7 linked regions of the Nothobranchius furzeri genome follow. The protein of the gene in region 6 purifies or fractionates together with the protein of the main gene of each other region. This does not show direct contact. Links are inferred from orthologs where the notes say so. Each region holds a gene or a part of one and is shown on either strand. Other genes may lie near its edges. The genes, in order: hsp90ab1, timm50, lrrc59, bag2, pin1, raf1a and cct5.

Region 1 (4,232 bases), on a different chromosome or scaffold from region 6:
AGCAACCAAACATGATCTTTAAATGCAAAATACAGCAATGCGTCCCTCAGTTTATAAAACACACCAAGCCAATTCAGATGAATCCACCATTTAGTTTCAATACCTTCATGTTCTTTGAGAAAGCCTCGTAGAATTTCTTGTAGTTGTCTTTGTCCTCCGACAGTTCTGCAAACAGCTCCAAGCACTTCTTGACTATGTTTTTGCGAATAACCTTCAGGATCTTGCTTTGCTGCAGCATTTCTCTGGAGATGTTGAGGGGCAGGTCCTCAGAGTCCACAACACCACGGATGAAGTCTTGAGTGGACAAAGTAATTTTAAATGCATTAGCCATTTAAAGAGTCTGTGGAATCATTTCAGACCACAGTGGAAAATGCAGCTGAACTTACTCAGATACTCAGGAATGAGCTCCTCACAGTTGTCCATGATGAAGACCCGCCTGACGTACAGCTTGATGTTGTTCTTCTTTTTCTTGTTCTCGAAGAGGTCAAAGGGTGCACGGCGAGGAATAAAGAGCAGGGCTCTGAACTCCAGCTGGCCTTCCACAGAGAAGTGCTGAAAGAAAATAAAGCATTAGAAAAAAAATCAGCCCGCAGGGTTAAAACTTTGTCGGAAACTCGTGTACCTTGACAGCCAGGTGATCCTCCCAGTCATTTGTTAGACTCTTGTAGAATTCACCATATTCTTCATTTGTGATGTCATCGGGGTTCCTGGTCCAGATGGGCTTGGTCTTGTTCAGCTCCTCCTGATCAATGTACTTCTCCTTGATCTTTTTCTTCTTCTTCTTGTCCTTGTCTTTGGAATCCTCCTCATCATCTGAACCCACATCTTCAATCTTGGGCTTGTCTTCAGCTTCTTCTTCTTTCTCCTCTTTCTCGGTCTTTTCCTCCTCTGCCTCGTCGTCACTAATCTCCTTGTCGCGCTCCTTCTCCACCTGCGACATAAAAGCTTTAGAAATCTGCCCAAGACTTAAAATTTTTAAAACGTACTTTTAAGCACTTACAAACAAGGTGATGGGGTAGCCAATGAATTGAGAGTGCTTCTTAACGATCTCCTTGACCCTCTTGTCCTCCACATACTCTGTCTGGTCCTCCTTCAGGTGCAGAATGATCTTAGTTCCACGGCCAATGGGCTCGCCTGAAAACATTTGAGGAATTTTCAGAAAAGCTAAAATAAACTAGAGTAAGCAAGTAGTGCACACTCAGACGTCACTGGTGATGGTTAGAATTACACACCGCTGTCAACCTTGACTGTGAAGGAACCTCCAGCAGATGACTCCCAGGCGTACTGCTCATCATCATTGTGTTTGGTGATGACGACCACTTTCTCAGCAACAAGATAAGCAGAGTAAAAACCCACACCGAACTGACCAATCATTGAGATGTCAGCACCAGCCTGGAGGAATAAAACAAATTTAGCTTCACAAGATCAGTCAGTCTCTTAAGATCCTGTGCAGGCCATTATGGGATGCGTAGTACCTGGAGGGCCTCCATGAAGGCCTTTGTGCCCGACTTGGCGATGGTGCCCAGGTTGTTAATAAGGTCAGCTTTGGTCATGCCAATCCCGGTGTCAATCAGGGTCAAAGTCCGGTCAGCTTTGTTGGGAATGATGTCAATTTTCAGATCTTTGCCAGTGTCCAGTTTTGAGGGGTCAGTCAAGCTTTCATAGCGGATTTTGTCCAGAGCCTGAAAACAGGGAATAGCGGTTAGTTTCTTCCTTAAAGTCAGAAGAATACTGAAGCTTCAGCAGACTCACATCAGAAGCGTTTGAGATCAACTCCCTAAGGAAGATCTCTTTGTTGGAGTAGAAGGTGTTGATGATCAGGGACATCAGCTGAGCGATCTCTGCCTGGAAGGCAAAGGTCTCAACCTCCTCCTCTTGGTGCATTTCTTCAGGCATCTGAAAATATAACAAAGTCACTTCAGTAAATGAAAGTGAAACAGAACTTAAGATAGTTTCAAAGTAACGCGATTTCGTCAAGTGGCTTCATTAAGTTGGATGGCCGCTGCAGCAGTCTGCTACATAAGGGCGGAAGTGTCAGTTAACAAACATGGCTTCTACTAGACAATGGACGCAGCAAACACGTGCTGGCGAACGATTAAGGCGGATCAACTCAAGTCACTTTAATAGATAAACAATGCGACGACGACTTCCATAAATACTACAAACGTACTTGTTTTAGCCTCCATGTGATAGTTTCAGTAAAACGTGGAGGTTAATTGAAACCGCGTTCAATTACGTAACGACCAAATGAACACTACCCCTCGTGGCTGGTAACCAGGCCTTATTACGCACACATTAAACTCAGTGTACCGGTTTAACGTGGGTTTATAACGGATTTAATCAGGCCGAGAACTCGATCCAGCGGAGTCACCGTCACCACACCTGCCTGACATCACGGTGCCGCATTCCCGCTGCTCAAGAGCATCACTACGATGCTCGGAAACATAAGCAAATAGTAGTCTCTCGAGAGGAAAATGAAAACATCAGCCGACGTACTAGGCGTCTGTCTTCCACGAAACACTTATTCGACCACCATATTAACCTCTGGATTTTCATTAACTAATAATGTTCGTTAAACACATACATACCGATGATATTTTAACAAACTTATAAAGGTAAGGATGTCTGACACGAGCTACGGACCCGTTAATGTACGCACCTTGGTAATTTCGTTGACTTTTTCTTGAATAAAATGCAGCAAAAGTGTAGTCCCTTGCGCTCCCTGACTGAAGAAAAAGGAAAGGAACTACTTTTCGGCACCAGACCAGTCTTTATACACGTGGGTCGCAGTGTGCAGTCGTATCCATCCGCAGTTCACGAGCTACAACCTGAAGCAATCACTTTTATGTAAAACCGCAGCCAGAACTAAACACACATTGTATGCTTCCTCACTGGAAAAGAATAATCTATTATTCACGTTTTGTTGGGTAAAAAGGGTTTAAATGCCAATTATGCAATCTAAGTAAAGAAAATGTATACGAAGTCGGACCTTAGTGTAACGTTGTCGCCATCTTGTGGTAGGTTGAGCTACAGCAAACCATGCACTGAGAGGCGATGTTTTTTGATCTCAATCATCCCATCTAGCGACAACATAGAGAAATGATTCGCATAACACTAAAACCACGCGTCAAGTTCAAATCTCAAGTGGCGTCTAGTTTCCCTGAAATTCGACATAGACTGTGGGTCTTTTTACTCCGACGGATGAATATTTCAAACACGAGAAGGTGTGCTTCGTTTCTTCTAGCCTGCTTCTAGCACTTTCCATGAAAGCCCCGCCTTAAAGTGACGTCACAGATCTCCCCCTTTCCTCTCCCGACGTATCATCTGTCACAAAATGTTCCTACAGCAAAAACGCCTTAACAACCATCAACTCAACCCTTTTCCGTACTGAATCATGAGAATATATGCTTTATATTGTCAAATGAACTAATGGTTGTTATTATATGAATTACAGATTTTCTTATGGACATAGAACACCAGTGGAAGATGGACTGCTATACATAAATGTAATACTATATTTGTCATGTTGATCACGACTTTGGAATTGAGTTTTTAGTACAGTGTAAGGGGAAGAAGTCACTGTTGTCAAGTGGATTAGAGTGGAATAAATGTACGCAGTTAGACCCATCAAATGCAAGAGATGCACAAATGATTATGATTCAGCTTTCTATTATGTAGTTTAACTACAGAAGACACATTTATAAATTTAGATAGTAACCTCAGTGATAAATAACAGAAGTACAGTCATACTTTGCATACAGAATATGTTATTTATTAGTTACAATTTCAGAATTGGTAAGAATGACCATTTTAACAATAATGTACACAGAATTTTTATGTACTCTTTTAAAAAACATTTAAAAAGAAGTTTAACATTGAAATAATCATATGATGGCTTTATCCTCTAATTGATTAAAACGAGTAGGAAAATCACAATGCTGTTTTTTTATGTGATCAGATGTTTTGTAAATTAAACCGATTAGAAACAAATCGTTTTAATAAAAAAAATGCGGACCGCTTTTTTGGTGTAACTTAATTTCAATGCTATTATTATTCAACCTTTTTTATTCATTTAGTTACTACCGCGCATTAGGTCTTCCAAGGTTAGTTAGGTAATCTGATCGAACCCTGTTAGCAGAAGTTTCGTTTCCTGAAAAGGGTTCATTTTGCGAATTCACATTAAGCCCCGTTCAGTGTATACACTCTGGTGCACAAAACAAGCGCGCCAGTAC
Region 2 (4,286 bases), on a different chromosome or scaffold from region 6:
TTTATGCTCACGATCGCCCCCTCAGGCCAAAAGCGTTAACGGCAGCTTCAATAGTAGGCTCGTGCACGAGGCGCGCATGCTGTACGTGCACACTCCTTAACGAAAATAACAGCTGAGACAGTCCCGTGTGTGTGTGTGTGTGTGTGGCCCGGAGGACAGGGGAACACGCTAGGGCTGGGCAATCATATGATCGCACTTTGTGATCACGATCATTTTCAGTTCAATTACGGTGATCAGCTGGGAGTCTCGATCAGAAATAACAGATGTGTGCAGCCTCAGTAGGGGGCGCTAACACTCCATGCGCGTTGGTTGCCCACTGCCATTTAACAAAAAGAAGAAGCATTTGCAATTACACTTTTCCTGCTCCGCTACTTCGAGGAAGAGGTTTAATAAGCAGAATGGCCAAACGTGGAGCTGAAAACAGCGAAGTAGATCCCAGTCATGACTCGGAGTTGTCTTCTGGAGATGATGACATTGTTCAGAAGAAAAGTTACTCAACGTCAGTAGTGTGGCGGTGGTTCGGGTATCTCAAAAGTGACGTTGAGCCTGAACCCGCCGATGTGGGAGGAGTCTCTCTCTCCCCACTCAACTGCGCCCCCGCTGTGTGTGGAAAACTAAAATGGAAGATAACCTGCAACTCAGTCAGCTGTGGAATTGGGCTCGGCTCTGGACAGTATACCCCACCCCCTCCCCCGCGCTGCCTGTTGCCGCCACCATAACACACGGGGAAACCCCGGATGTTACATCAGTCAAAAACGCAAAAACCGCAGCTTTGACGGTCACGTGATCGTTAGGGATGCAACGATACCACTTTTTTCCAAACTGATACCGATACTTGGATCTGAGTACTCGCCGATACCGATACAGATACTTCTACCACACAAAAAAATTAAATGAATTGGAATACAGGTTTTATTTTCTTCTGTTTTCAATAGGAAAAGACTGTAAGGTAGATAAAAAGTAATATAAGTGATTACAAAACTAAAATATTAGGTGAACAGAAATGACAAGTTAAAGTGAAGTCAAGTCAAGTCAAGCAACTGCATTGGTATCATTTACTGGTATCGGTTAACTTTTACCGATACCGATACCAGTATTGTATCGGTGCATCCCTAGTGATCGTGCTGTTTGAAATCACGATTTCGGTCCAAAAACGAAAAATCGTTCAGCCCTACTCACCAAAGATGTAGACAACGCTGACCGCTCCGCCAAGGCCTAGGAGTCCCGCCAACCGCAGCACCATTTTTTTTGCATAGGCCATGTTCTCCTTCTGTTTCTTGTCATCTGTTTGCTCTCCTTCCTTCTTGCTCTGACCTTCTTCTGTAGGTGGCTGGCCCTGGAAAAACAAACAATAACAATAGATATTTCATTTGAAGTCAAAGCAGATCACCATGACACGTGGGGTCCCCCCAAGGATCAATTCTCGGACCACTGCTCTTCAATCTCTACATGCTCCCCCTGGGCCAGGTCATACAATAACAACATTACCTATCATAGTTATGCAGATGACACCCAGATCTACCTAGCTCTATCACATAGTGACTGTGGTCCTCTCCACTCACACCGCCAGTGTTTGGAGCAGGTTAATGACTGGATGCAGTCAAACTTCCTCCAGTTAAAGACACGACTGAAGTTCTTGTCTTTGGAAATCTGAAGGATAGGATGGAGGTTATTGATCGACTTGTCTCCGGAGGAATAAAGACCCAGGTTAGAATCTTGGTGACATAATTAGGGATGCGTGATATATCGGCATCGATGTCGGTATCGGCCGATGCCATGTCGTGTTGGTTTTAATGTTCTTGCTATTCTTGCTAATGGAAAAGCATATTGAACTGCCTCTGTGTGTGAAATGTGCTATAAAAATAAAGCTGCCTTGCCTTGAAGTCTGATTACAAGTCAAAGCTGTGATGCTGCACTGAGACACGTTAGCTGGACCTCTTGTTACCTCCAAAAATGATATTAAGCACCAAACAAAAAGATTTAATTCAACAAATGTTGTCCTTAATCTGGTGGGTCAACCAGGATTAGCGCCTTTGACCAGGTGAAATCACAGATTTGCAGATGATACAAAAATAAAAGCCTGAACAGGTGAGTATTTTTACAATACAGCCAGAAAATAAATAAAACTTCTGACAGAGCCACCGTTTATGAGGGCAATGGGATCTCAAACACTGATGGATGGGTACTCTAACATCCCGGAGATGTTTGGCATGAGTTAGAGGAGAGAAGAAGGTCCTGTTCTGTCCTTCTAGCCTAAAGCACCTTGACTGTTATTTTTCTAACAGAATGAAGCTTGGCTGAAGTCAGTATGAGAGAGGACGCAGCATTTTACCTGCAGACCCCACGATTACGGTCACGCACAGCTACAGCAACACATAAAACCAACGAGCAATAATATAAACCCTCCCGTGGAGAAACCTGCACAGGTAACGCTTAGCCGTCCGTGGCTAGATGTAGCTTCGGTTTGATATAATGGGGATTCTCGGAAGGGCGGAGTCATGACTTAAACGTACAAACTGCACTGCCTTCGCCGCTGGACAGAAAACCGAGCGCACCTCACCTGGCTCTGGTGCTGCTGGAGTCGCTCCTGGAGGATAGCCTGAGCTAGTCCGCTCGTCGCGCCGCGCGGTCCGCCAGACGGCTCGTCTGTGGAGAGTGTCCGGATGATATCCATCGCTGCCAGCCTGGAAGCACCTACCGCTCCGTTGCTGAGCCTCAGGAGGCCGTGACTCGCTCGGACACACATGGGGAACACAGCCGACATCTTGGATTGTAGCAGCCGGTGAGCGTGTGACGCAAGACTGAAAGACAAAGATCTGCGATTGGTTTGGCTCGCGTTGACGGACCAGTACACTGTCCAATCAGAAACGGAGTTGTCCACGTGGTTAAAAGAAGGGCGGTGCTTAGTAAATTTAGACCAATCAGAAGTGAAAATGAGTCTGACCTTCGGATGCGACACAAAACCACCATGACGGTTGGTGGCAAATTCGCCCTAGTCAAATGGGACTTTGTAGGTAGTTTGTGAGGTAGCGAGCCGCCATCTTGGATGGGTCATTATTTGCCCCCGTGCAACTATATCTACGGAGAAACTATAAACCTACTAAAACAAACCTTTTATTATGCTTTTTCATTAAGTCAGACGCATGGTATGGCATGATAAATAAAATGTAAATATAAACAAAATGAATGAAAATATAAAATCCCAAAAGGAAGGCTAGAAAAGTCTATATTAATCCCACGTGGTCTGTTTTCAACAGTGCGCCAGGTGTTGCAACCACTCTGTGTTTATGGTTGCAACCGTAGGCTGCACCAAAAACAGGCATAGTTCCCCACTCTTAGTTTGGAAAGTGCGGAACCCATCCAATATGGCGGCAATGCTGTTACTCTCTCCAGCGCCCAGTGGTGCAGTTTACGTATTCGTATGGGTGTGGGCGTCACCAGTAGACAAGCGGAATGGTTCTTTTACAAGGATTCAGTTCTCATCTTTTAATCTGAAAAGCCGAACGAAAGATTCAGTTTGTTAGTGAATGTCACATCTGTGTTAAAGGATCACTTTGCAGCTTTGGCCTGATTTTAACATGGAAACGTGAGATTACAGGAGGCCTGAATCTGACTGAGACTGGTAACCCTAAGGAAACCACCATCACAATCAGGTGATTGTGGTGGGTTCTCCACAGTTGGACTGAATACAGAAAAACAATCAGAACAAAGACTAAAGCTCCTAAGCTTGTAGATCCTCCTTCAGGAACTCAGGAATCATCTTCTGTTTGACACCATCATGGTTCTGGAGGAGTTCTGCTCCATTCTTCTTAAAGGTTGCTGACATTCAGCTCTTTGAAGGTCCTAAGTCTGGTTCGGGTCTGGACACTGACTGGACCTCTCCAACATCTTGATTCTGTTGTAGATCTGCTTCCATGTTCTGGATCATGATTATCTTTTATGACCCAGTTTGAGATGATCTCCAGCTGTCAGACAGATGGTTTCACATTAGAATCTAAGAGGCTTTGGTATCCAGAAGAGTTCATGGTGGATTTAATGAGTCCTGTTGGGTCGGAACCAGTCCAAACCATCAGCCCTCCACCACCGTGCTGACTGCTGGGATCAGCTGTTTGTGCTGTCATGCATTATGGGTAAACATCTATTTAATGGGACATCGTTCCAGAAACATTCTTGTTCATCCAGATAACAACCTAAGTTGAGCTGTCACAACTTTTAACAGAAAGAACTCAGGAGGTAGAGCAGGCTGTAATCTGAAGGTTGCAGATTAGATCTAACCCTAACTCTAA
Region 3 (4,178 bases), on a different chromosome or scaffold from region 6:
GTGAATCATTGTAGGACAATCAAAATGGCATGTGTTTGTATTTTAGTAAGTATTATGTAGAATGAATTACAAAATGAAAATTTTGGGAAAAAGCACATTTCATACCTGCAGTATCAAATTTGATACAGACATTTTAACATGGTTTAACTGTAATATAAAGAATGAGTTACTTAATAAAAACAGTCAGATGGACTGTGTTAAAAATTACTTAAACTTTTATGTTATTCTTACCACAACTTCTCAAAAATTAGTAATGATTTACCTGACAAAGGGCAAATGGATCACTCGCTGGGAGTAGCCATGTTGGGAATGATCAAAACTAAACTTGAGCTGCCTGTTTGGCATAATAATCCAGTAGGAGGCAAAATACATGTATCAGATTATATACAACCCGTTTTTAAGGCAAATATTGATCATGTCAATGAGATAGAGGTTTCAGAAACTCATGTAGCAAATATGATGCAAATGGCATGGGTTAGTAATAAAAACAGGTCTAAGTTGAAGAGAATACAATATCATAGCACAAGAGGACACAGGTCCTAACAGGCATTTATTAAAGACATGTAGAAAACACAAATGGCCCATTCACCTTTTCTGTGCTGTTTGTTACTTTCTTTTTTTCAGGGTTCTGGCAGTCAGCTGATCGAGGAACCACATTCCTCTGAAATGTTCTCAGGAGAACTAAATGACTTGATTAAAACGATGAATGTCCTCCTCAGTGGCATACAAGAGGAGAGGAAGACCAGCTACTGGACCAGAAAAATTAAGACCATCAACAAAGTTTATTTTGTTTTCTATGTTACAGCTGCCAGTCTGTTCTTGTGCTTTATGTTTTACAGCTGGTTAAGCACAGACTAGCCTTTCCGAAACAAAACAAAAAACAACATCAAAAATAAGTTGTGAGGCTGACTCACAACTGGTTTTTGAGTGCAGAATTGTTTTATGTTAGCAACAATAAATACAAATTGCATAGCTGTTTATTAAAATGATTAATAAAGTGTATGCATTGCACTGTCTGTGAGAAGATGTTTGAGCTAACAAAAAGGGAATTTCAAGGTTTCTCTTTAAAATGGCCCCAATTTGGCACAAATCTTTTTTGGTCTTACACCAGTGAAGTATTAGGTTGAGTACTTTCATTCAAAACCTGCCACATCCACCCCTTTACATGTCTTCCACGTTTGGTAGAAGAGCTTGGTGGCATATACCTCATTAAATAATCATCGATAAAATAAAATTGAAAATAAATACACAAGTACCTAATCTAATCCTTAATTCGTTACATAAGCCACAAAGACAAAAAAATACAGATATCTATAATCATGTCACTGTTTATTAAGTTATTTAATGTTCCTGTGCTGCACTTCCTCCTGCTTTTTTAATCTGTCACTTACACATTAAATCAGGGGGGTGGGGCCAATTGAGTAAAGAAGATTGCTCTGGCCCGAAAAGGAAACACGGAGGTTAAACATTCAGAAGTTAAGTCATACTTTATGGGAAAACAGATTTTTTTTAAATCTGCTTTAAAGTAGCACTAAGAAAACTTAAGTCAGAATTTGTGATGAATGTACTATTGCCTCCATGCTAAAGAGAAGGACAGCGCCTCGGGTTAGGATTTGGAGAGGGAGATTCAAAGCGCGTCTTGTCTCCTCCGGTCCTGCAGGGGACGCTGCGTGGTTTGCGCTAACGTCTCCGCGTAGCAGCTCAATCAGTGACGTGGATTTTCGTTCAGTCAGTGCTGCCACTGCCAGAAACACGATTCAAAGCTTGTGCACCAAATTTCTTCTAACTGACGTAATATACCTGCCGTGTGTTTGTCTTATATGTCGATGTTGTTTACCGGCTGTTAAACTAGGACGCAGTTTTCCACGGTTATCGTTTACAGGTGAGAAATCTTATAAAATCGTCGTAGTTTCAGGGTTTCCTGTTGTCTGGCGATCAGAAGTATCTCCACTGATCTGTTTAACCTCGGTGTGTTGGCAAGAGGCGCCTCGGACTGAAGGATGAGTAAAAACAAAGTGTTAAACCTGAGGGATAAAATCAGTGGAAATGAAGTGGACCTGAGCCTGAGTAACCTCAGTGAGGTACCAGTCAAAGAGCTCGTAAGTCACTCAGGGTGTTTACATGTTTGTAATAAATACAGCCAGATAAGGAGATGTTGTGATGTCATGGTTTAACTACCTTCCTTTCTCTAACAGTCTTCATTTCCCAAAGCCACTGCCGTGGACATGTCCTGCAACAACATCATCTCCCTTCCTGTAAGTGTCTAACTGACTCATCCAGAGCAAATATTGAGCATTTTAAGTGAAAGCACGTGAGTGCATCCACGTCAGTATGTTTCATTAAAGCTACCAAAGATACTTTTTCTTTTAAAAGTTTGAATTTCTATTAAACCGAGCTGTACATTGTTAAATGGAGAGAGTGATTCAAACTTTTCTTTTCTTGCATAAATAATTATAAACTCTAAAATCTCGAGGTTTACCTATCCACTTTCATCTAGTTTCTGCTGTTATTGTTAAGCATGTTTGCGGGTTGATGTTGCTCAAACTGAATAATTTGCAATCATGTTTTTACTTTTATTTTGTTCATGCAGCCAGAGTTCTGCAGCCTGACTCACTTAGTGAAGCTGGACTTGAGTAAAAACCAGCTGACCCGTTTGCCAGATGACCTGGGGAACCTAGTCAACCTTCAACATCTGGACCTGTACAACAACAAGCTGACGGTTCTGCCTGTCAGCTTCTCTCAGCTCAGGGTAAGATATGGACCATGCAGCTCAAACACACCGCCCGTTTTACATGGAGATCCTCAGAGCACTGGATCTGTTTATGTTCCCCGTCCTTGTATAGCTGTGGTGGGGGGGTTTACTCTTGTACCGTGGGCCCTTGCTCTGGCTCTGACTTTGTAAAACATGAGAAATTATGCTGGCAATGCAGAATGTGACAATTTAATTGAAATCTATTCATTATGTTGTTTTTTATGATCAGAAGCTAAAATCACAATTCAAACTTGATAAATGTCACACTCCTGTTGTCTGATGTATCAGTCCAAGTCCAAAGTGACTGTGTGTGTGTGTGTGTGTGTGTGTGTGTGTGTGTGTGTGTGTGTGTGTGTGTGTGTGTGTGTGTGTGTGTGTGTGTGTTTTAGAATCTGAAGTGGCTCGATCTGAAGGATAACCCTCTGGAACCTGGCCTAGCTAAAGCTGCAGGAGACTGCCTGGATGAGAAGCAGTGTAAACTGTGTGCCATAAAGGTGGCAGAGACTCATTCATTAATCAGCTTGTTCACCAAAACAAACATGTAACTAATGACTGCATTTCTCAGGTTCTGCAGCTCATGAGAGCAATTCAGGAGGATGTTGATCGCGCACGGGAGAAACGTCTTTTAAAGGAAAAAGGTGGGTAAATGAAAATGTTCTAGACAAAAGGTGTTAAAGAGACGATCGATGGTGTGAAAGAAAACCTCCTGCATCAAGATTTGTGAAGCTAGATGTTTGACCATTTGTAGGAAATTGGTTTCAGATTAAAGTGTAAAAAGCATCAAAGTCAACCCACTGACCCAACGTTGTCTGCTCGTAGAGCTGGAGAAGAAGAGGGAGGCCAAACAGAGGGAGCGGGAGGCCAAAGAGAGGGAGGCCCGTAAACAGGAAAAAGCAGAGGAGAAGGAGAAGAGGAGGAAGGAGTACAACGCTCAGGTGGCAGCTGCAGCTGCGAAGGCTCAGCAGAAGAAAAATGAGAAGAAAAAGAAAAATGGACAAGCAGCAGGTGAGATCAACGCGATGGTTCGTGTTTGAAATGAGAAACGTTTGTAGTTTCAGCCTGAAGATGTTCTGATGTCACGTTTTGTCTCTGCAGATAAAAACGTTGCAGCAAAGCCAGCACCTAAACCATGCCGTTCCCTCATTGGTCTGGTGTTTAAGCTCCTCCTCCTGCTGATGTTGGGCATGGTAGGAATCGTCGCTGCCTGTCAGCTCACCGACCTACAGAAGGAAGCCGTCTGCGTGCCGATCAACGCCGCCGTCACTGACGGCGTATCCTGGGTCAAAGTGCAGGAGGGTGTGGCCAGACAGCTGCTGCTGAACCTGTCGTCCGCCGTAAAAGAACTTGTTGAATCTTCACAAACAACTAAGAACTGATCCAGAGGAGCATGCAGAAACGAGACTGAGCTCTCCCTCCTCCTGTCTGC
Region 4 (4,236 bases), on a different chromosome or scaffold from region 6:
TTAGTAATCATACATTTGGTTCCGACAAGAAGAATTTCTGTCTTATTGCTGTTCAGATAAATGTGTTGATGTCTTGTAACTTTTAACACATAAAAGGTAGTTGTGTGTGTGTAAATTAAATTTGATTTACACTTCATTCAGATATTGGTGAAGTTTTCAGATGGAGCCTTTATGCACTTGTGCTGATTTACAGTTTAACAGGTAACTTCTAATGAACAGATGGAATTTTTTTCAAGAGCTTGTGAAATCTGCTTGTGTCGGTTTGGGATCACCTTGTTTGTGTGGATGTAGTTTTCCCCAAAATAATTCTTGTTAATCATTTCTATAAATGTCCCCAAAACAGGGAATGACGCATTAGGGTGGCCACCTTAAGGGACGTCCACCACAGCTTCTCTGGACCATGGGTAACTGTTACAGGACCTTTTGAAACAAGATCTTTATAATTGTTGAACTATTTACATAAAAGGATTAGGGCCACTGAAGAAGAAGTTCTTTTTCTCTTTTCTGAGGGAAAAATAATCAGAATTCTGAGGTTAAGGTTAGACGTCTCATAAATATTTACACCATTTTGTTCCTATTAGATTTTGAGTTTAGGAAGAAAACTTTTGCCAAAAGTGTATGAATGTATTTTTTGTACCAGATATTTATATTTAGGGAAATTATTTTTAAAAAATAGATGTAAAAATCTCATGGGTACTTTAAAGCAGCAACCTGGAGTTTCCCCCCTTCCAAGAATTATTTATGATTTTCTTTTAATCCATAAAAGCCTGTACTGTGATAACCAAGGCAATACATCTTTTTGAAATTTTCTTGGCGATTTTTGGGGGAGGTTGAAATCACGGCTCCCCCAAAAGGGTAATCAGCTCCCCCGGAAGCCATCAAACGACATACACATGGGGAGCTCGAAAAGAAGATTGGACGGAGAGGTGATCAGAGGGAAGACGAGCCCAGACTGATGCAGAGTTGGTAACATTTCTTATGGACAAGTAAGTCTTTAAAATATACATGATAAACAGCACAACATGACTGTTCATAAAAAGGCCATAATCATGGAAACTGAGAGGCCTAGGGGTGTAATGCAGTTTTCACCTCTAGATGACAGGTGTCACTGCGTTGTGGGAATTCAGTTCAATTAATCCATAACAAAAGGCTGCTTAAATCTCACTTTTTCTATTATATCTATGATTATTATAAAGTAAAAGCCATTCTGGAAGGTCCACTGTGGCTCCAGAGTTGCGGGTTGCAGACCACCACAGGCTTTCATCTGTAGTCTGGAGTGAAAATGAATTATATATATATATATAGGCCTGGATAAGTTTATCAGAATAACTTGATTACTTTACCAATCTGCCTAATAAAAATTATGCCCAAATAAATCAAGACACATTACTTAAAACTGCAAAGTGAGTTGGAACATTATAGGTCTTTTATTTCCGTGGACCTGGAGGAGCTTGCTCACGGACCTCTGCTGGTCCACGCTCCTTACGATTGGGAGCTCCAGCTCTGGTCTCCTCGGGAACTTTCTGCCGGAGTGAAGGAAGTCCATGTTAGGAAATGTTCCCCCCATGGGGCGCTGCTGCTGCCTGCCTCAGTCCGAGGATTTACACCCAGCTGGACGGCTCGGAGGGACACACACTGGATTTTGCGCTCACCGAGGGAAAGCACTGTAGCCATCATCTTCGTCTTCATTATGGCTCAAGCGAAAATACAAGCGAAAATGAACGAAGCTGCCCTCTGCAGCAAGTTCAGCAGGACGCTTTCTATGGCAGACCGCTCGGGGCGACTCCTGGAAAGTTTGGATCAGCTGGAAACGAGGTAACAGGCCCTTGTTGTACCATGTGTGCTACGGAGCCGCTATTTGCCCCGGCCGCTAACATTTATTGGCATAAACCTTTTATAAACACTGTAAACAGGGCAATGTGACAATAAATGTTTTTCATAACAAACATAACTGGTTTGCAGCGTGTTATTTCATATGCTGTCTCTCTTTCTGTGTCAGAGTGGAGGCTTTACGAGAAGCAGCATCTGCCATGGAGCAGGAAAGGGAGTGCATCCTGGAAATGATTCAGTCCATACAGAACAGTCAAGAAATGAGGAACATCTGTGCTGGTGAAGCTGCTAACTCTCTCTTAACTTACATAAGCGCAAAAGTCACGCACGGCTTAATGCCAGGGAAGATACGCGGTTATAAAGGGGAACTAGTACGGTTAATGTATTTCTACCAGAATCCCATCTCCTCTGATCTCACCCAGACCCAGTTTGTGTGAACCAGGCTCATGTTTCACCTCTGGATCGTGTGAGTCAATAGCCTACATCTGGTTTATTGATTTGGTTCCGCTGTAAACAGACAAAAAGGCCTAACCCTTAAAGCTCATTATTTAAATCCAGAGTCTGACCAGGGTAGACCGTCTAGTCATGTTGGTTTATGCTCCATTAAACCTCATTAATGTAAGTTAGTATGATTCACACGAGCTCCATGGTTCACCTAGAAACTCCTCTCAACTGGTCAGGGATTTGAAAGAAGGGCTTTATGTAAAGGTGCATTATGTAAGACTGACATCCTGTGGTCAAATTTGGTTACTGCAGACCACATTTGTAAGCAAAAGTCACTGCCGTGAGTGTCAATCAAAATCAAATCAAAGATACTTTATTAATCCCAGAGGGAAATTAGAGTTTCAGTACACACAATTCAGAGATCAGACATACATGGGCAAGACATATGACAAGAATTGGTGACTGTGGTCATTCGCAACCCTGAGTCGTGCTAATTGAGATCAGAGGGTTACATGAGGATTGGTTCAGGTGGAGGGAAAAAAAGGCACTTCAGAGTTACCCTCCACTGGGAAGGCAGCTTTGCTATGCAAAAAAAAAAAAAACACCCACCTCCGACAGAGATGCAACAGACTTCAGGCATTACACAATATAAGTGTCCACTAGGTGGGGAGGTGGGTTGGGATTATCCCTACTTCAGTTCCTGCAGCCACGATAGATTCTCATGGCGCAAAAGGGCCTGTTACAGATCAGCACCAGAAGATTCTAGATGACAAGAAAAGATGAGTTATAACCTAATCTTTGAATAAAATTTGCAAACATAACCGAACATTCTGTCCGTTAAACACTAGGCAGTCCGGCTCCGACTTTGCTTCCTGTTCAACTACTCTAAGCCAAGAATGCGCAATACATCCACAAATACGGGTATGCGCATACAGCGGAGGGACTGTCAGAGGGGAGTTTGATGGATGGATCATGATTCAGTCATTAAGAACGGGATTGCATGTTTCAGAGGAAATGAAAATTATTAGTTTTTCGACAAAGCATTTACTTTATTGGTTGCTGTACGATGTGATGACCATAACAAGCAATATGGCAAAAAATGCTCCAGAGAAACATCGTCCATCCCAATAAAAAATATGTTTGGAAATGTTATTGCATTCATTTCTTCCAATTAATATCAGTGGTATTTTGGTGTCAGCTTGTTATTATTGACAAGTTGGCAGAATCATGGAGAACATCATGAATATTGCTTAACAGGTTTCAGTGGGGGCAGTATTATGGTGTGGGGTGGGATCTCAGACAAATCAGAGCTTGTACTCATTGAAATAAACTTTTAGAAATATGAAATGACTATTGATGTGCTGTTACAGCCGCATTAAAAGCAGTTTCTTTCCTATAAAGATTTAGTAATATGTTTACATGTCTTCTAGGTGAGAGGGAAGAGTTATCTTTGACTGCGAACCGTCTGATGGGCCGAACGTTGTCTGTGGAGATCTCTGTTGGCACAATCAGAAACCCCCAACAGGAGGATGCACTACTCAAGGCCACGTCTATGATAGACGAGATTGTGAAAAAGCTGCTGAGCGACATGGAAGGTGGCCGTCAGCAGCTGCTGGCCCTGCACGCTGCCTGCGTCACGGAGGCACCGCTCGTCCCTATTGACCAGAAGTTTCAGACCGTGGTGATCAGCTGCGCTCTGGAGGACCAGAAGAAGATAAAGCGAAGGCTGGAGACTCTGCTGAGGAACGTTGAAAATGCCGAAAAGAACATCAAGATAATGGATCACCAAAAACTGGAGGGCACAAAAGCTAACGGGGGTCACTGAGACCCTTTGCCGAGGTGTCTTGAATTCCACTAACCTCACAGAAAGCTATAGTTAGCTTTTACACATTTAATTAATTTCAGATGGACTCTGCTTGAAGCAGCAAGGAGAGGTCTTATGGGAAAATGCCATACCGAATT
Region 5 (4,061 bases), on a different chromosome or scaffold from region 6:
GAGGTTTTTAACACCGTGTGAACTTGACATATGCAGAAGGAAACAGGTGACTCAGCATGTTTAGGAAACATAACCAGATCCCCAAAAGTGCAGAAATGTGTAGGATACAGTCACCAAGAGTCACGTGGTCCTTGAATATGGTATACCTGTGAAAACAAATTAATTTTCATTAACAGAAATATGCAAAACAAAAATATATTAAGAATAATTTCCAGACAGGTATCTTACCACTTCTTTAACACAATCTTGTCATGTCGCGTTCCAGTCTGAGCAGCGATGAGCTTCTTCAGATCTCCAATGGTATCTTCTGAGCTGAATTTGGGATTTAAGGAGCCATGCAAAAGTGCAGAAAACATTCAAAAATACTCAAGATGTGCTTTAGTGACCTATTGGATTCCAGTTAAACACACATGGTGGGTTTGCTCAGATGTCAGAGATTCAATAATCAAATATGATCATTACTCCACTTTCAGGTTAATCTGAATCTAATTCTGAGCAATTCAACAGGGATTTCAGCATTTCTCTACTGCTTACACTTAGGAAAAATAATGTGTAACTGAAGTGATAAATGAACTGGAACGATTCACTGGAATCTAGGGGACAAATTCATTCGTTTTCCTGTGTGTGGGGTAAAAGATATCCAAATAGACTTAAGGGATTGGTTCCCTTATGGCGGTTTCAGGTGGACTCATCCGGTTAATTCATATAAAGAATTATCTTTATTTATATTAAATAAAAAAAAAGTCATCGCACTGTTGTTATGGGTCCAAGGAAGGATACTTGCATTTGACTCGAACCTTCTTGCCCAGGCGATCGTTACAAACCACCTCAATCATTTTGCTTCTGTCAGAAATAAGATGAGACGAGATTGACTCAATGTCTGACAATAAACAATAACTCACACAATAAGAAAGCACGATGTGTCAACACAAACAACGTTTGTTTGGCTAAAAACAGTGTACACGCTATCAACACCCCTCGTGCTGTTATTCGACAAATCAAAGCACATGCATTACCTTAAATTCATTAAAAACATTTATATAAACGTTAAATTACACAAAATAATTTTCCTATGCGTCTTACATACCCAGAAAACTATAGAAGATCAAGAAGTATTCTTTCCTTGCTGATATTTTCTGGAACGCTCTCGAGACACGACTAGCCGTAAAGTACGTTTGGCCATGTGATCATCCTCTAAACCAATCAAATAAACCAACAAATGACTGGCATGCTTGTAGGCATGAGAAGAGAGGGCGGACTGTACACCGAAAACAACGTGTGCCGTAAACAATCGACAACTGTCGCATAGATTAGCCCAAACGCCTCTCTGTTGCATCGTTGAGGCATTGAATTGTAATTGGAAGCTCTGCTGCAGAAAACTAATATGTCAGAGGAGGAGGATTTACCGACTGGATGGGAGAAGAGAATGAGCCGTAGTTCAGGTATTCAAACATAAACTGCTGAAGGAAAAAAGAGCTTTTCGTCTTTATAAATGGTGTGTTGTAAACTTAGCCTACTTGCTAGCAGCGTGTGCATTGTGGTGTGGAAAGAAACAGTTATGGGAAATTTGAAATAAGTTTTTCTAATTAGCGATGCGCGGATTCGTGCAGAACGTCGTTTTCTTACTTGCAGCTTGTGACTGTTGTGTAGTGGTGTCGTTTCGTGTTTGCTAAATGCTAATTCATTCAGTTCGGCTGCAGGGCCTTGCATTACGTCACCCCGCCCAGATGCCTTACGTGCAAAACAGCGCGAGACACAACAACTATGAAACAAGGTCTTATAACTCTGCTCCCTAAGACAGACAAAGATCCTTTAAAAATAGAAAATTGGAGACCTATCTCACTTTTAAATGTTGATTACAAAATTTTATCTTTGGTGTATGCGAAAAGACTAAAAAGGATTTAGGTGAGATAATAAGTGAAAACCAGAACGGATTTCTTCCCAAACGTCACATTAGCTCTAATATTAGACTAGTGTTGGATCTAATCGATTATTCACATTTTATAAACTCAAATGCTTTGATGATTTTCCTTGACTTTTATAAGGCATTTGATTCGATTGAACACACCTTCATTTTACAAACACTTCAAATGTTAGGGTTCGGAGAGTCGTTTATTAGTGTTATTGAAATGCTTTATAAAGATATAAACAGCTCAATAATTTTATATCCACAGATGTCTGGGAGGTTTCCAATATTAAGAGGTGTACGACAGGGCTGCCCAATGTCTTGCTTTTTGTTTCTGATTGCCGCTGAACTGTTGTTTTTAAATATTTCACACAATCCAAATATTCATGGTTTAGAAATTTTTAATAAAGAAGTTAAGATGTCCCAATTGGCAGATGACACAGTCTTGTTTCTTAGAGATAAATCACAGATACCAAATGCTCTACATGCAATACGAGAATTTTCAGAAGCTTCAGGACTGAAGCTAAATGTTATAAAAGTGAAATTTTATGTTTGTATGAAACCAATGACCAATATATGTTCAATATTCCCATCAAACAAACTGTTAGATATTTAGGAATTCACATAATAAAAGACAAAATGATGAGACAAACATTAAATCTGCAATCAAGGATTAAAAAAACTCATTTGATTCTTAATATGTGGCTGCAAAGGGACCTCTCTATTTTTGGCGGGGTGTTGTTAACAAAAGCGGAAGGCATATCAAGGTTAGTATATCCCACCCTCTCCCTTCATGTTAATGATGCAACTTGTAAAGAAATTAACAGTTTATTTGTAAACTTTGTCTGGAAGAACAGGTATCATCATCTAAAAAAAGACATACTCTATCTGGAAAGAGCAAGGGGGAACTTAGAACTCTTAAATTTTTTCCACTTAAACAACACCTTTAAAGTCAAATGGATTAAAAAATGTCTAGAAATGCCAGAATCTTTATGGAATTTTATTCCACACAACCTATTTAAAATGGTAGGGGGTTTAAATTTTCTGTTACGTTGCAACTTTATTATTTCTAAATTACCAGTGAAACTTTCAATGTTTCACCAGCAGGCTTTACGTGCGTGGAAATTATGCCATACACATAATTTCTCCCCACACAAAGAAATATTATGGAATAATGGTAATATTACCATAAACAACAAAAGCTTATACAAAATGAATTGGGTTGAGAAAGGCATCATTTTTGCCGCGGATTTATTTGATGATAACGGAAGCCTTTATACCTATGAAAACTTTTTGAAAACTAAGGACTTTCCAGTGAAATACAGAGAATTTGCCTCGGTCATGAGAGCCATTTCTTCAGGCATAGTTGAGTTAATGAGAGCACACTTTGTTTATCAGATTTAGTTTGCAGATGCCATCTCTAAAAGTTGGGGGTATTGATTTATTAGACAAGAAATGTTCAAATCAGCATATAAGGAAGGTTTTATGTTGTTCTGATACAGTGGCACCCAAAGGAACGTTTTTCTGGAACACACAGTTTGATATAAATTGGAAGAAAGCATGGATGGTTCACTTTCAATACTGTATTTCAAACAAGATATGGGAACTTAATTTCAAAATTTTACACAATATTTATCCATGTAACAAAAAATTATCATTGTTCAAGGATCTGGATGAGAAATGTACCTTTTGTCATACTGGTTCAGAGACTATCATACACTTATTTTATAATTGTCCTCTCTCATCTGGATTTTGGAAAGATATGGAAAATTTCATTATGATTAAATCCAAACACACTATCCAAATCAGATCTAAGGATGTTATTATCAAGTTTGAATGTAATGATAAAAGGTTAAGTTTTATAATTAATTTAATGCTTCTTTTAGGGAAATTTCATATACATAAAGCGAGGGTCTCCAAATCTCTCCCTAACTTTTGCGTTTTCTTAAATGACTTCCATTCATATGTTAACACCATAAAGTTAATTGTAAATAAGAAGGCAGAACTCACTTTAATAAGTCTTTAATGTTTATTTCTGATTGACCCTGTATAACAAAAACAATCACAAAATGTACCTTTTGGAAGGTTGTATTATCTGTTATGTGCCTCTTGTTGATTAATGAGCTGATGTCTGTTCGTGTGTATATTTGATGTA
Region 6 (3,921 bases):
TTCAAGAAGAATCTGTTCTTGGCTTTTTCACTTAACTTTATTAAAATAGCAAATAAAACATTCAACCTCATCAGTGTGACATAACAAAACAAATTAGTTCCCAAGTCACTTTAAATATTTAAGACACCTGCCGAGCGTCCAGCTCGCGACGCGGAGGGTTCGGTCTAGTGAGACGCTCGCTGACAGACCGGATCCAAAACCCAAAAGTAAAGTTACACAAACAAAAATCCCAAGTCTAGTCCGTTACGATTTAAGACGTAATCTGCTACTGTGCAATAAGATGGACAACTTCCAACGGCTTTGTGATAACCAGAGGAGGTGAGATTGTGCAGAAATACAGTTGAGGTTGTTTCCTCTTAAGGCAGGTAAGCTTAAAAAAAATAAGAGTCCTCTTCGTCGTAAACCAGGGAGGTTTGATCAAAAGGATGGCGTGTGCCTCCTGAGCCTCCTTCAGCGTCCATCCGTCATCTTAGGTAGCACGGGTGTATTTATTTATTTACAAATAATTCACCAACACGAAGCCTCGTTCTGCCTCCTAATAGGGGGATGTACCATATCCTGACCCTCTAAGGATTTCTCTTCTCTTTAACTCACACATTTATTATTTAGCATGTCTGAAATGACAAATGTCTGTAGGGCATCTAAGATTGTGTATTTGTGAACAGGAAGAGCCGTCGTGTGAGGAGAGGAGGAGGAGGAGGAGGTGCCGATATTCTCCAAGAGCTTAAAACAGGCTTAAAACAGGCAGTCTGGTGGAGGTCAGCGTGCACGTGTTGATGTCCTCGGCCTGTGAGGCTCTGTGCAGGGACGGCTCTGAGGCGCTGCGGTTTATCTTGGGGAGAGCGTGCTGGAGGAGCTCGATGGAGGACAGGATCTATGGGAGTAAATGAATGAATGAACTCAACAGGAACATCTGTAATCCTGCCAACAGCTGGAACCAGAGGCTCACCTGAGGAAAGAGCGGCCTTTCATCCTTGAGCTTCTTGATGCAGTCGGCCACCAACCTTTTCATGGCTTTGGGACAGTTCTTGTAGAGCTTACTGAGGTCTGGGGACAAATAGCCTCTTCCCACCATGAAAATGATCTGAACAGAAAACAGGAGACATAAATATGGAGCCAGGAGGAAAACGATCCCGTTTAAAAATCCAGCAGAGGTCAGTGCAAGGGTGGGAGGACAGCTGATCGATGGTGAATCAGCAGTCATTCTTTAGTTACAGTGCGTGCGTCTACGGTGTCAGACACCTAGCACACCAGAGGCAGCTCAGCAGAACAAAGTACCTGGAAAGTGGTCCAGAGCTTTCGTCTCATCTCCATAAGTCAGGCTGGACCTCGTGGCCTGAGAGGACCAACACATCTACACGCGTGCTTTAATGCTCTTCCCTCCCACAGGGTTGTGTTACGAGGACTAAAATTAGGCCAGCGGCTCCACAGAGTCCGCCTGGGCTGCATGGCAGGCCTTAGGCCAGCTCCACAACCCCCTTCACCCCTCCTGAGCTCCACGGTGGGCCTGAGCTCTGACACACGTCCGACTGTGGGCTTACACAGGGACTAAGGTGTTTACCTGATCTCTGTTCGCCGTCTGCGAGTACGGGAGCTCTCCCGTCATCAGCTCAAAGAGAACAATTCCATAGGAATACACATCAGACTGGAAGCTGTAGGGATTATTATCCTGCATCCGGATAACCTCGGGTGCCTGGCAATGACAATAGCAACAGAATCATCACGGAGAGTCTTCCTCGTTCACCGTCACGGTCCCAGCAGGGTTCGAGTAGCAGGTGTCTCACCATCCAAAGAATGGATCCAGAAGGCTGCTCCACCTGCTGGGAGCCGCTCCACCTAGCCTTCACCGTGGCGAGACCAAAATCCCCGATTTTCACCGTCAGCCCCTCATGCAGGAAGATGTCTGCGCTGAGGTCAGGGAATCATAACCAAACACACAGTGGGACGTTTTCATTCACTCACTGTGAGACGTTCAGAGAAAGGATACTGTTGGACTTCATGTCACGATGAATGATGCTCTTAGCATGTAAATAGCTGGAAAAGAGGGACAAAGCTATCATCATCTGATTTATCTGTAACTTGCCGTTGTTTTTTAAGCTTACTCCATGCCCTGAGCCGTCTGCCTGGCAATATCGATGAGCTGGATCATCTTGAAGTTGGTCTCCAGGACGTGAATGTGTTTGTACAAGCTGCTGCCCTCGCACCACTGGGTCACGATGGCCAGGTTGTCCTTCGTCATGTAGCCCATAAACAAAAGGATGTTCACATGTCGCGTTTTCCTGCAACCAGGGGTGGAGGGGAAGAGGAAATCATTATTTTGTAGCTAAACTAAGATTTTAACAGTTAGCTGGTGTGGAACTAGCTGTAACCTTAGGACTGCCACTTCGTTTCTGAACGCCTGGAACTGCTCCGGTGTGGGGTTGGTGACCTTTAAAATCTTCACTGCTACGTCACCTGCAACAAAAATGCACAACTTTGGGTTATTTTGGCCCTACAGGGCTAGTTTGACAAGAAATGATGCATGAAGCTGTAGTTTTTCACGCGTTTAATGAGTCGAAGAACTCCTGAACACATCTGTCAACATCTAAGCCACCGTGTGAGAGGTTCTGACTCATGCTAACTGCATTCCTACCGTGCCATTTTCCTTTGAACACTGTTCCAAAAGAGCCCGAACCGATGCGGGACTGCAGACACACCTCGCTGGCCTCGATCTCCCAGTAATAACTGGAGTCTCTCTTATCCCGGGGCCTCTGCGAGAAGAGAAAGCAAAAAGGTCTGAACACAGAAGCTTCGGCTAACACACACGTCAGAAATTTTGACTCACAATTTTGTTTTTCTCCTGATTGCTGAAGGAGGTGATTTTTTCACGCTGGTGAGGCGGGGGAGCTTTGGACTGGGACCAGCCTGTGGGGCTCTGGTTGGGGGAATTTCCCGCTGTGAAAACAAATAAGTTATTTATTCTTTATTTTGTAATTTTCATACTGCATCAAACTTCCTTCCACTACTTCTGTCACTCATCATTTTGACTTAAGTCACAGCTCAGTGATTATTAGCACTGTTACGACCCCGTGGGTCGTTCTGCAGCTAACGGTTGGGGTAACGCAGAACACCTGATGACCTGGAGTCTTTCTATTAGTAAATTCGGAAGTTTGGGGGCGTCGAGTCTCGGCAAACACCCAACAAACCCACCAGCCTACTTCCAAATCAACAGATTTATTTCTCAAAGCTTTGTTTTGGTTTTAACATCCCTTCTCTTACGCCAACATGATCACCAATGCTAAAGCACTGTGGACAGCTACGGGTGTCTCACCGAGTCTGATTGGACATCACTTCCTTCTAAATGACTATTACATGTGCATGATTAGAAACCAGGAAGACGGCTGAACGGGTACTTACCAGAGTCATGATCACGCATCACATGCTATAGGAAAAAAAACATTATATTAGAATAAATGATCAAATTAGCACAAATGTGACGTGCTACCACTGATGATTTGACGGCTGCATTGACTAAAGATGAGAATGCAGACATGCGCTTCACACAGAGTCTCTGCTTTCTAACCTGTCCTGGACTCACAGGTGAGGTCTCCACAAAAGCCTGGGAGAAGTGCACAATACCTACTTTCCTCTTCAGCCAGAATCTGTGGCACCAGAAGACGGGAGAGGTATTCAAGCAGTCTAGCTGCTCTCCAGTAGGGTACAAAACAACAGACCCACAGGGAGACAGGAGGGACAAAAGGGGACAGAGTCAAGGAAAGAGAGGAAGAACATGTGGATTCCTACCTGAGCAGAAAAAAGGTGGATTATGAAACCACTTGTGAGGTGGTTGTGCAAGACTAAGGATGGAGATAACGCCTAAAGTGGAAGTGAACAAGCGGAAGTGTGGGAAATGTGCAAGAGCATTTAAAACATGCTGAAATA
Region 7 (4,026 bases), on a different chromosome or scaffold from region 6:
ACGGATTTACGCACAATTCCTTCATATGATCCATCAAAGGTGATATTGAGCATAAGTGAACACTGGACACATAATATGCATGCTTTATTATCCAACAATGTAATTGCAACACGTGAAGTTATTATTTATTTTTTGTGCATCTGGTGTTAACAATATTTATTTTCACTGTTTCCCTGCAAGCCCACTATTAAGTGTCACCAAACACGCAGGTAAAGGTAGAAAAGCACATAAGCCAGCCGTGAAATAGGTGTGGGAAAAGGGTGCATGCTACGATGATTTAGTGTTAATACATGAGTAGTCTGACCTGCTAGACTCGTCCTAATACACGAGGCCCCTGGCAAATTCCTGCGGCTACTGAGTCTGTTTCACGTAAATTTATTAACATCTACCTTCTCATTTTGGTCCAAGCAGCTGAGATCAGCAGTCAGACCGTGCTCCTCAGCCTCCTCGGCTATCCCCTCAGCTATAGCCTGAGCTTGGCCCTTCTGGGACCCAAACAGCACCACAAATCGATGCTTCACCTCACAAGGCATGCTGGGGGGAAACAGATAAACAGATAAATATTTAGGCAATTCTAAAACGCCACAGGTAAAATAGTGAGACTAACTAATCAATTATCAGCTGCATTTTAACAAACATCTCAGCTTACCAACATACTTGGACAAATAAAAGGCAGGCTGCCACAGAAACACGTTTAACACACCGCTACGCCACCATTACCGTCAGTACCAGGATGTTGCGTCAAACTTTGACTAGTTACCAAAACAGCGCACGTGGACGTTTTTCACTCAAGAACACTTTATGAACATAACATTTCATATTTGGTCCGTAAACTAATTCGGAATTCCGAGAAACTCGACTCACTTTCTTTAGAGAATCGTGTTTTCTGGCATTAGTCCGTAATAAATACACAGGAAATACAAGCAGTTTAAAGTTAATAAAGTATTTCTACCTTTTTAAATTGTATGAAAATTCACCTCGTCAACTCCTTGCCAACATACCGGTAATTAGTCTTGTTACTGAATTCACGCGAGATCTGAGCTCAAACTGAGATTGCGCGTGATCGGAACAAACCAAGTTACGACAAAGACGTTCCCCTTGTTTAAAATTTGTTGTCAGTTGCAATGATATTAATTTGTATGATTGTGACTAATTTATGATATAGTTGTTCAAGCCTTTTGTCGTTTATAAAAAAGGTGACAGGAATGGAAGAAAACACGCTGAACTGAATTTGGTTCCGCCCTCCCCACCCGTGGAGCCTTCCAGAAGTCCCCGGCAGATCCGTGCGGCTTGCAGTTCAGCCACACTCCAGGATCACATCATTAAACGCGTTATTCTGTCAGATAAACGCCGATTGTGTGTTCTAAACTCCAAATCAGCATGTCCACTTTGGGCACATTAGCCTTTGATGAATATGGAAGGCCCTTCATCATCATTAAAGACCAAGACAAGAAGACACGCTTATCGGGCATTGATGCACTGAAGGTACAATGAGCTAGCTAGCATACATGTAGCGTGATGGCCTAACAAGCAAACCTGCTATTAGATATTTAATTTGGTTACAACACGAATTTATACATACGGCTTTGTGTTGCATGAGTGAATTTGTCCAACACATTCTGATGTTTGTGCAAAATAAGCTGAATTAGATTAGGAAATGAAATGAATTCGTTAGCTATGCTAAGAAGAGGCCCATGTGCTCCCTGTGCGTTCATCTAGTAGGAGGTGCTACATAGGGCTGTACCCTGCATGGTCATGTACATCACCCATACAGCCGACACGCTGTTTACATGCCTTTTGAGGGTGACTTTTAGAGGTAAAATGTGTTTTGATATGCACTTGTTTTGTTTTACAGTCTCACATAATGGCAGCCAAGGCAGTGGCATCAACGCTTAAGACATCTTTGGGTCCAAACGGTACGATCCAGTGCAGTGATGTCATTTCACTTGAATAACTGCTGAGATGTCGAGAGTCTGTGTGACCATTAGATTATTAATTTAATCTAGTTACAAACACAGCAGGTTTACCATGTCATGTCACCGTTTAGGTCTTGACAAGATGATGGTTGACAAGGATGGAGAAGTAACTGTCACTAATGATGGCGCCACCATTCTCAGCATGATGGATGTGGACCACCAGATTGCCAAGCTGATGGTGGAACTGTCCAAATCCCAAGATGATGAGATTGGTGATGGAACCACTGGAGTTGTTGGTGTGTAAACGTGTGCAGAAGGAACATTGTGTGAATGCTTTTTGTAGATGAACATGTGATATATGTTCTGTGTTAATTAATTTTATATAGAATTCTTGGTTAGTATTGATATTTTTATTTTAGTTAAATAGTTTTAATTCGGTAAAGTGCATAAAATTAGGTTTTGGCAGGTAAATTATGAGTTCCTAAAAGTGATTTGTGTGCTGCTACTATTGGGGCATTTTAGCATGCAAATGAATCAGAAAATGTCTAGATATCGGCCAAAAAGTGACAACTCGTATCGGCAATGACTCATACTTGTTGGTATTGGGGAAAGAAAACCCCATAACGGTCTACCTCCACTACCTACTGCTCTTCTAATGCATTTCTGACTCTGTTTACCTATTTTCCTGCATCCTCAGTGCTGGCTGGATCGCTGCTTGAGCAGGCCGAGCAGCTGCTGGACCGAGGAATCCACCCCATCAGGATCTCCGATGGTTACGACCAAGCTGCACGCATAGCCATAGAGCAGCTGGACAAAATAGCAGAAACTTTCCCCTTCGATCCCAACAACACCGAACCACTCATTCAGACTGCCATGACAACGCTGGGGTCAAAAGTGTAAATTAAATTATTATTTTAGTAGTTGTTGATGCCATTTTCCTGTGCCCCTGTGACCTGGCTGCTTTTTAAGTGAGTTATTGAGATTTGACAAATCACCTTTTAATCCTATTGTTGTTATCTAGCATCAACCGGTGCCACAGACAGATGGCGGAAATTGCAGTGAATGCCATCCTCACTGTGGCCGACATGGAAAGGAAGGATGTAGACTTTGAGCTCATCAAGGTGGAGGGCAAGGTGGGAGGAAAGCTGGAGGACACACAGCTCATTAAGGGAGTCATAGTGGATAAGGAGTTCAGCCACCCTCAGATGCCCAAGGTATGATTTAAAATATAAATGTTTGTTGTAAATATTGCTGCATTTTTGTGATGCTTTAACGTGCCTGAGCTAACAAATTCTCTTTTCAATTAGCTTCTCAAAGATGTTAAAATCGCTATTCTAACCTGCCCGTTTGAGCCTCCTAAACCCAAGACCAAACACAAGTTGGATGTGACCTCCGTTGAGGACTACAAAGCCCTCCAGAATTATGAAAAAGAGAAGTTTGAGGAGATGATCCAGCAGGTTAGTAATTCTCACAAATCCCGATGCTACAAAAATGACTTTTTGTGGTTCATGCAAATCAAGGAAGAATAAAAACACCTTAATTCTAGGTCAAAAGCACTGGTGCTAACTTGGCCATCTGCCAGTGGGGCTTTGATGATGAGGCCAACCATCTTCTGCTGCAAAGCGAGCTGCCTGCTGTGCGCTGGGTTGGAGGGCCTGAGATTGAGGTGAGGTAGAAGTCTTGCATGTGAAAGGTCAGAATGAGCTACCCTTGCTACGAGCTCACCCTTTGGTGTTTTGTTAGTTGATTGCTATAGCTACCGGAGGCCGTATTGTGCCGAGGTTCTGCGAGCTGACACCAGAGAAGCTCGGAACCGCTGGCTTGGTGAAGGAGATCTCCTTTGGCACAACCAAGGATCACATGCTCGTCATCCAGGAGTGCAAAAACACCAGGGCTGTAACCATTTTCATCCGAGGCGGCAACAAAATGGTACGCTCTCACAAGGCTGTATCGTTTTTGTCCTTTTTCATCACATTCATGTCTAATGGTCAAAACCTTTTCATTAGATCATTGAGGAAGCCAAGCGTGCTCTCCACGATGCTCTGTGTGTAATCCGCAATTTGGTGAAAGATAACCGTATTGTGTATGGGGGCGGAGCTTCAGAGATAGC

The links.
Region 1: the proteins of raf1a (region 6) and hsp90ab1 purify together in Homo sapiens (affinity purification with mass spectrometry; 8 studies listed by BioGRID and IntAct, with this or other methods). This does not show direct contact. The link is inferred for Nothobranchius furzeri from reciprocal best matches to the Homo sapiens genes RAF1 and HSP90AB1.
Region 2: the proteins of raf1a (region 6) and timm50 purify together in Homo sapiens (affinity purification with mass spectrometry; 4 studies listed by BioGRID and IntAct, with this or other methods). This does not show direct contact. The link is inferred for Nothobranchius furzeri from reciprocal best matches to the Homo sapiens genes RAF1 and TIMM50.
Region 3: the proteins of raf1a (region 6) and lrrc59 purify together in Homo sapiens (affinity purification with mass spectrometry; 3 studies listed by BioGRID and IntAct, with this or other methods). This does not show direct contact. The link is inferred for Nothobranchius furzeri from reciprocal best matches to the Homo sapiens genes RAF1 and LRRC59.
Region 4: the proteins of raf1a (region 6) and bag2 purify together in Homo sapiens (co-immunoprecipitation; 3 studies listed by BioGRID and IntAct, with this or other methods). This does not show direct contact. The link is inferred for Nothobranchius furzeri from reciprocal best matches to the Homo sapiens genes RAF1 and BAG2.
Region 5: the proteins of raf1a (region 6) and pin1 purify together in Homo sapiens (co-immunoprecipitation; 3 studies listed by BioGRID and IntAct, with this or other methods). This does not show direct contact. The link is inferred for Nothobranchius furzeri from reciprocal best matches to the Homo sapiens genes RAF1 and PIN1.
Region 7: the proteins of raf1a (region 6) and cct5 purify together in Homo sapiens (affinity purification with mass spectrometry; 3 studies listed by BioGRID and IntAct, with this or other methods). This does not show direct contact. The link is inferred for Nothobranchius furzeri from reciprocal best matches to the Homo sapiens genes RAF1 and CCT5.

What each region holds. Positions count from the first base shown.
Region 1 is NC_091742.1:8,415,726-8,419,957, forward strand, and holds the start of hsp90ab1 (heat shock protein HSP 90-beta), read right to left. Parts: upstream 2,801-4,232; 5' UTR 2,660-2,800; intron 1,897-2,659; coding exon 1,753-1,896; intron 1,683-1,752; coding exon 1,476-1,682; intron 1,393-1,475; coding exon 1,233-1,392; intron 1,135-1,232; coding exon 1,001-1,134; intron 932-1,000; coding exon 623-931; intron 553-622; coding exon 387-552; intron 295-386; coding exon 104-294; intron 1-103. UniProt on the Homo sapiens protein: Molecular chaperone that promotes the maturation, structural maintenance and proper regulation of specific target proteins involved for instance in cell cycle control and signal transduction. Undergoes a functional cycle linked to its ATPase activity.
Region 2 is NC_091753.1:57,198,088-57,202,373, forward strand, and holds the start of timm50 (mitochondrial import inner membrane translocase subunit TIM50), read right to left. Parts: upstream 2,801-4,286; 5' UTR 2,783-2,800; coding exon of another isoform or gene 2,765-2,782; coding exon 2,561-2,764; intron 1,337-2,560; coding exon 1,180-1,336; intron 1-1,179. Other genes in the region: clip3 (CAP-Gly domain-containing linker protein 3), read left to right, coding at 2,745-2,782. UniProt on the Homo sapiens protein: Essential component of the TIM23 complex, a complex that mediates the translocation of transit peptide-containing proteins across the mitochondrial inner membrane. Has some phosphatase activity in vitro; however such activity may not be relevant in vivo.
Region 3 is NC_091756.1:45,077,348-45,081,525, forward strand, and holds the start of lrrc59 (leucine-rich repeat-containing protein 59), read left to right. Parts: upstream 1-1,378; 5' UTR 1,379-1,791; exon of another isoform or gene 1,792-1,882; intron 1,883-1,909; 5' UTR 1,910-2,000; coding exon 2,001-2,099; intron 2,100-2,195; coding exon 2,196-2,255; intron 2,256-2,590; coding exon 2,591-2,749; intron 2,750-3,141; coding exon 3,142-3,246; intron 3,247-3,317; coding exon 3,318-3,390; intron 3,391-3,571; coding exon 3,572-3,757; intron 3,758-3,847; coding exon 3,848-4,128; 3' UTR 4,129-4,178.
Region 4 is NC_091752.1:19,643,860-19,648,095, reverse strand, and holds the start of bag2 (BAG family molecular chaperone regulator 2), read left to right. Parts: upstream 1-1,436; 5' UTR 1,437-1,690; coding exon 1,691-1,815; intron 1,816-1,999; coding exon 2,000-2,109; intron 2,110-3,704; coding exon 3,705-4,099; 3' UTR 4,100-4,236. UniProt on the Homo sapiens protein: Co-chaperone for HSP70 and HSC70 chaperone proteins. Acts as a nucleotide-exchange factor (NEF) promoting the release of ADP from the HSP70 and HSC70 proteins thereby triggering client/substrate protein release.
Region 5 is NC_091744.1:9,158,834-9,162,894, forward strand, and holds the start of pin1 (peptidyl-prolyl cis-trans isomerase NIMA-interacting 1), read left to right. Parts: upstream 1-1,261; 5' UTR 1,262-1,384; coding exon 1,385-1,442; intron 1,443-4,061. Other genes in the region: ubl5 (ubiquitin-like protein 5), read right to left, coding at 109-146, 229-312, 781-836. UniProt on the Homo sapiens protein: Peptidyl-prolyl cis/trans isomerase (PPIase) that binds to and isomerizes specific phosphorylated Ser/Thr-Pro (pSer/Thr-Pro) motifs.
Region 6 is NC_091755.1:58,347,345-58,351,265, reverse strand, and holds the end of raf1a (raf-1 proto-oncogene, serine/threonine kinase a), read right to left. Parts: intron 3,683-3,921; coding exon 3,563-3,682; intron 3,422-3,562; coding exon 3,397-3,421; intron 2,935-3,396; coding exon 2,825-2,934; intron 2,751-2,824; coding exon 2,633-2,750; intron 2,455-2,632; coding exon 2,370-2,454; intron 2,280-2,369; coding exon 2,103-2,279; intron 2,035-2,102; coding exon 1,988-2,034; intron 1,904-1,987; coding exon 1,785-1,903; intron 1,694-1,784; coding exon 1,562-1,693; intron 1,085-1,561; coding exon 950-1,084; intron 875-949; coding exon 725-874; 3' UTR 501-724; downstream 1-500. UniProt on the Homo sapiens protein: Serine/threonine-protein kinase that acts as a regulatory link between the membrane-associated Ras GTPases and the MAPK/ERK cascade, and this critical regulatory link functions as a switch determining cell fate decisions including proliferation, differentiation, apoptosis, survival and oncogenic transformation.
Region 7 is NC_091747.1:54,098,038-54,102,063, reverse strand, and holds the start of cct5 (T-complex protein 1 subunit epsilon), read left to right. Parts: upstream 1-1,226; 5' UTR 1,227-1,380; coding exon 1,381-1,485; intron 1,486-1,855; coding exon 1,856-1,916; intron 1,917-2,047; coding exon 2,048-2,212; intron 2,213-2,613; coding exon 2,614-2,812; intron 2,813-2,937; coding exon 2,938-3,130; intron 3,131-3,223; coding exon 3,224-3,373; intron 3,374-3,462; coding exon 3,463-3,582; intron 3,583-3,659; coding exon 3,660-3,845; intron 3,846-3,922; coding exon 3,923-4,026. Other genes in the region: mtrr (methionine synthase reductase), read right to left, coding at 390-533. UniProt on the Homo sapiens protein: Component of the chaperonin-containing T-complex (TRiC), a molecular chaperone complex that assists the folding of actin, tubulin and other proteins upon ATP hydrolysis.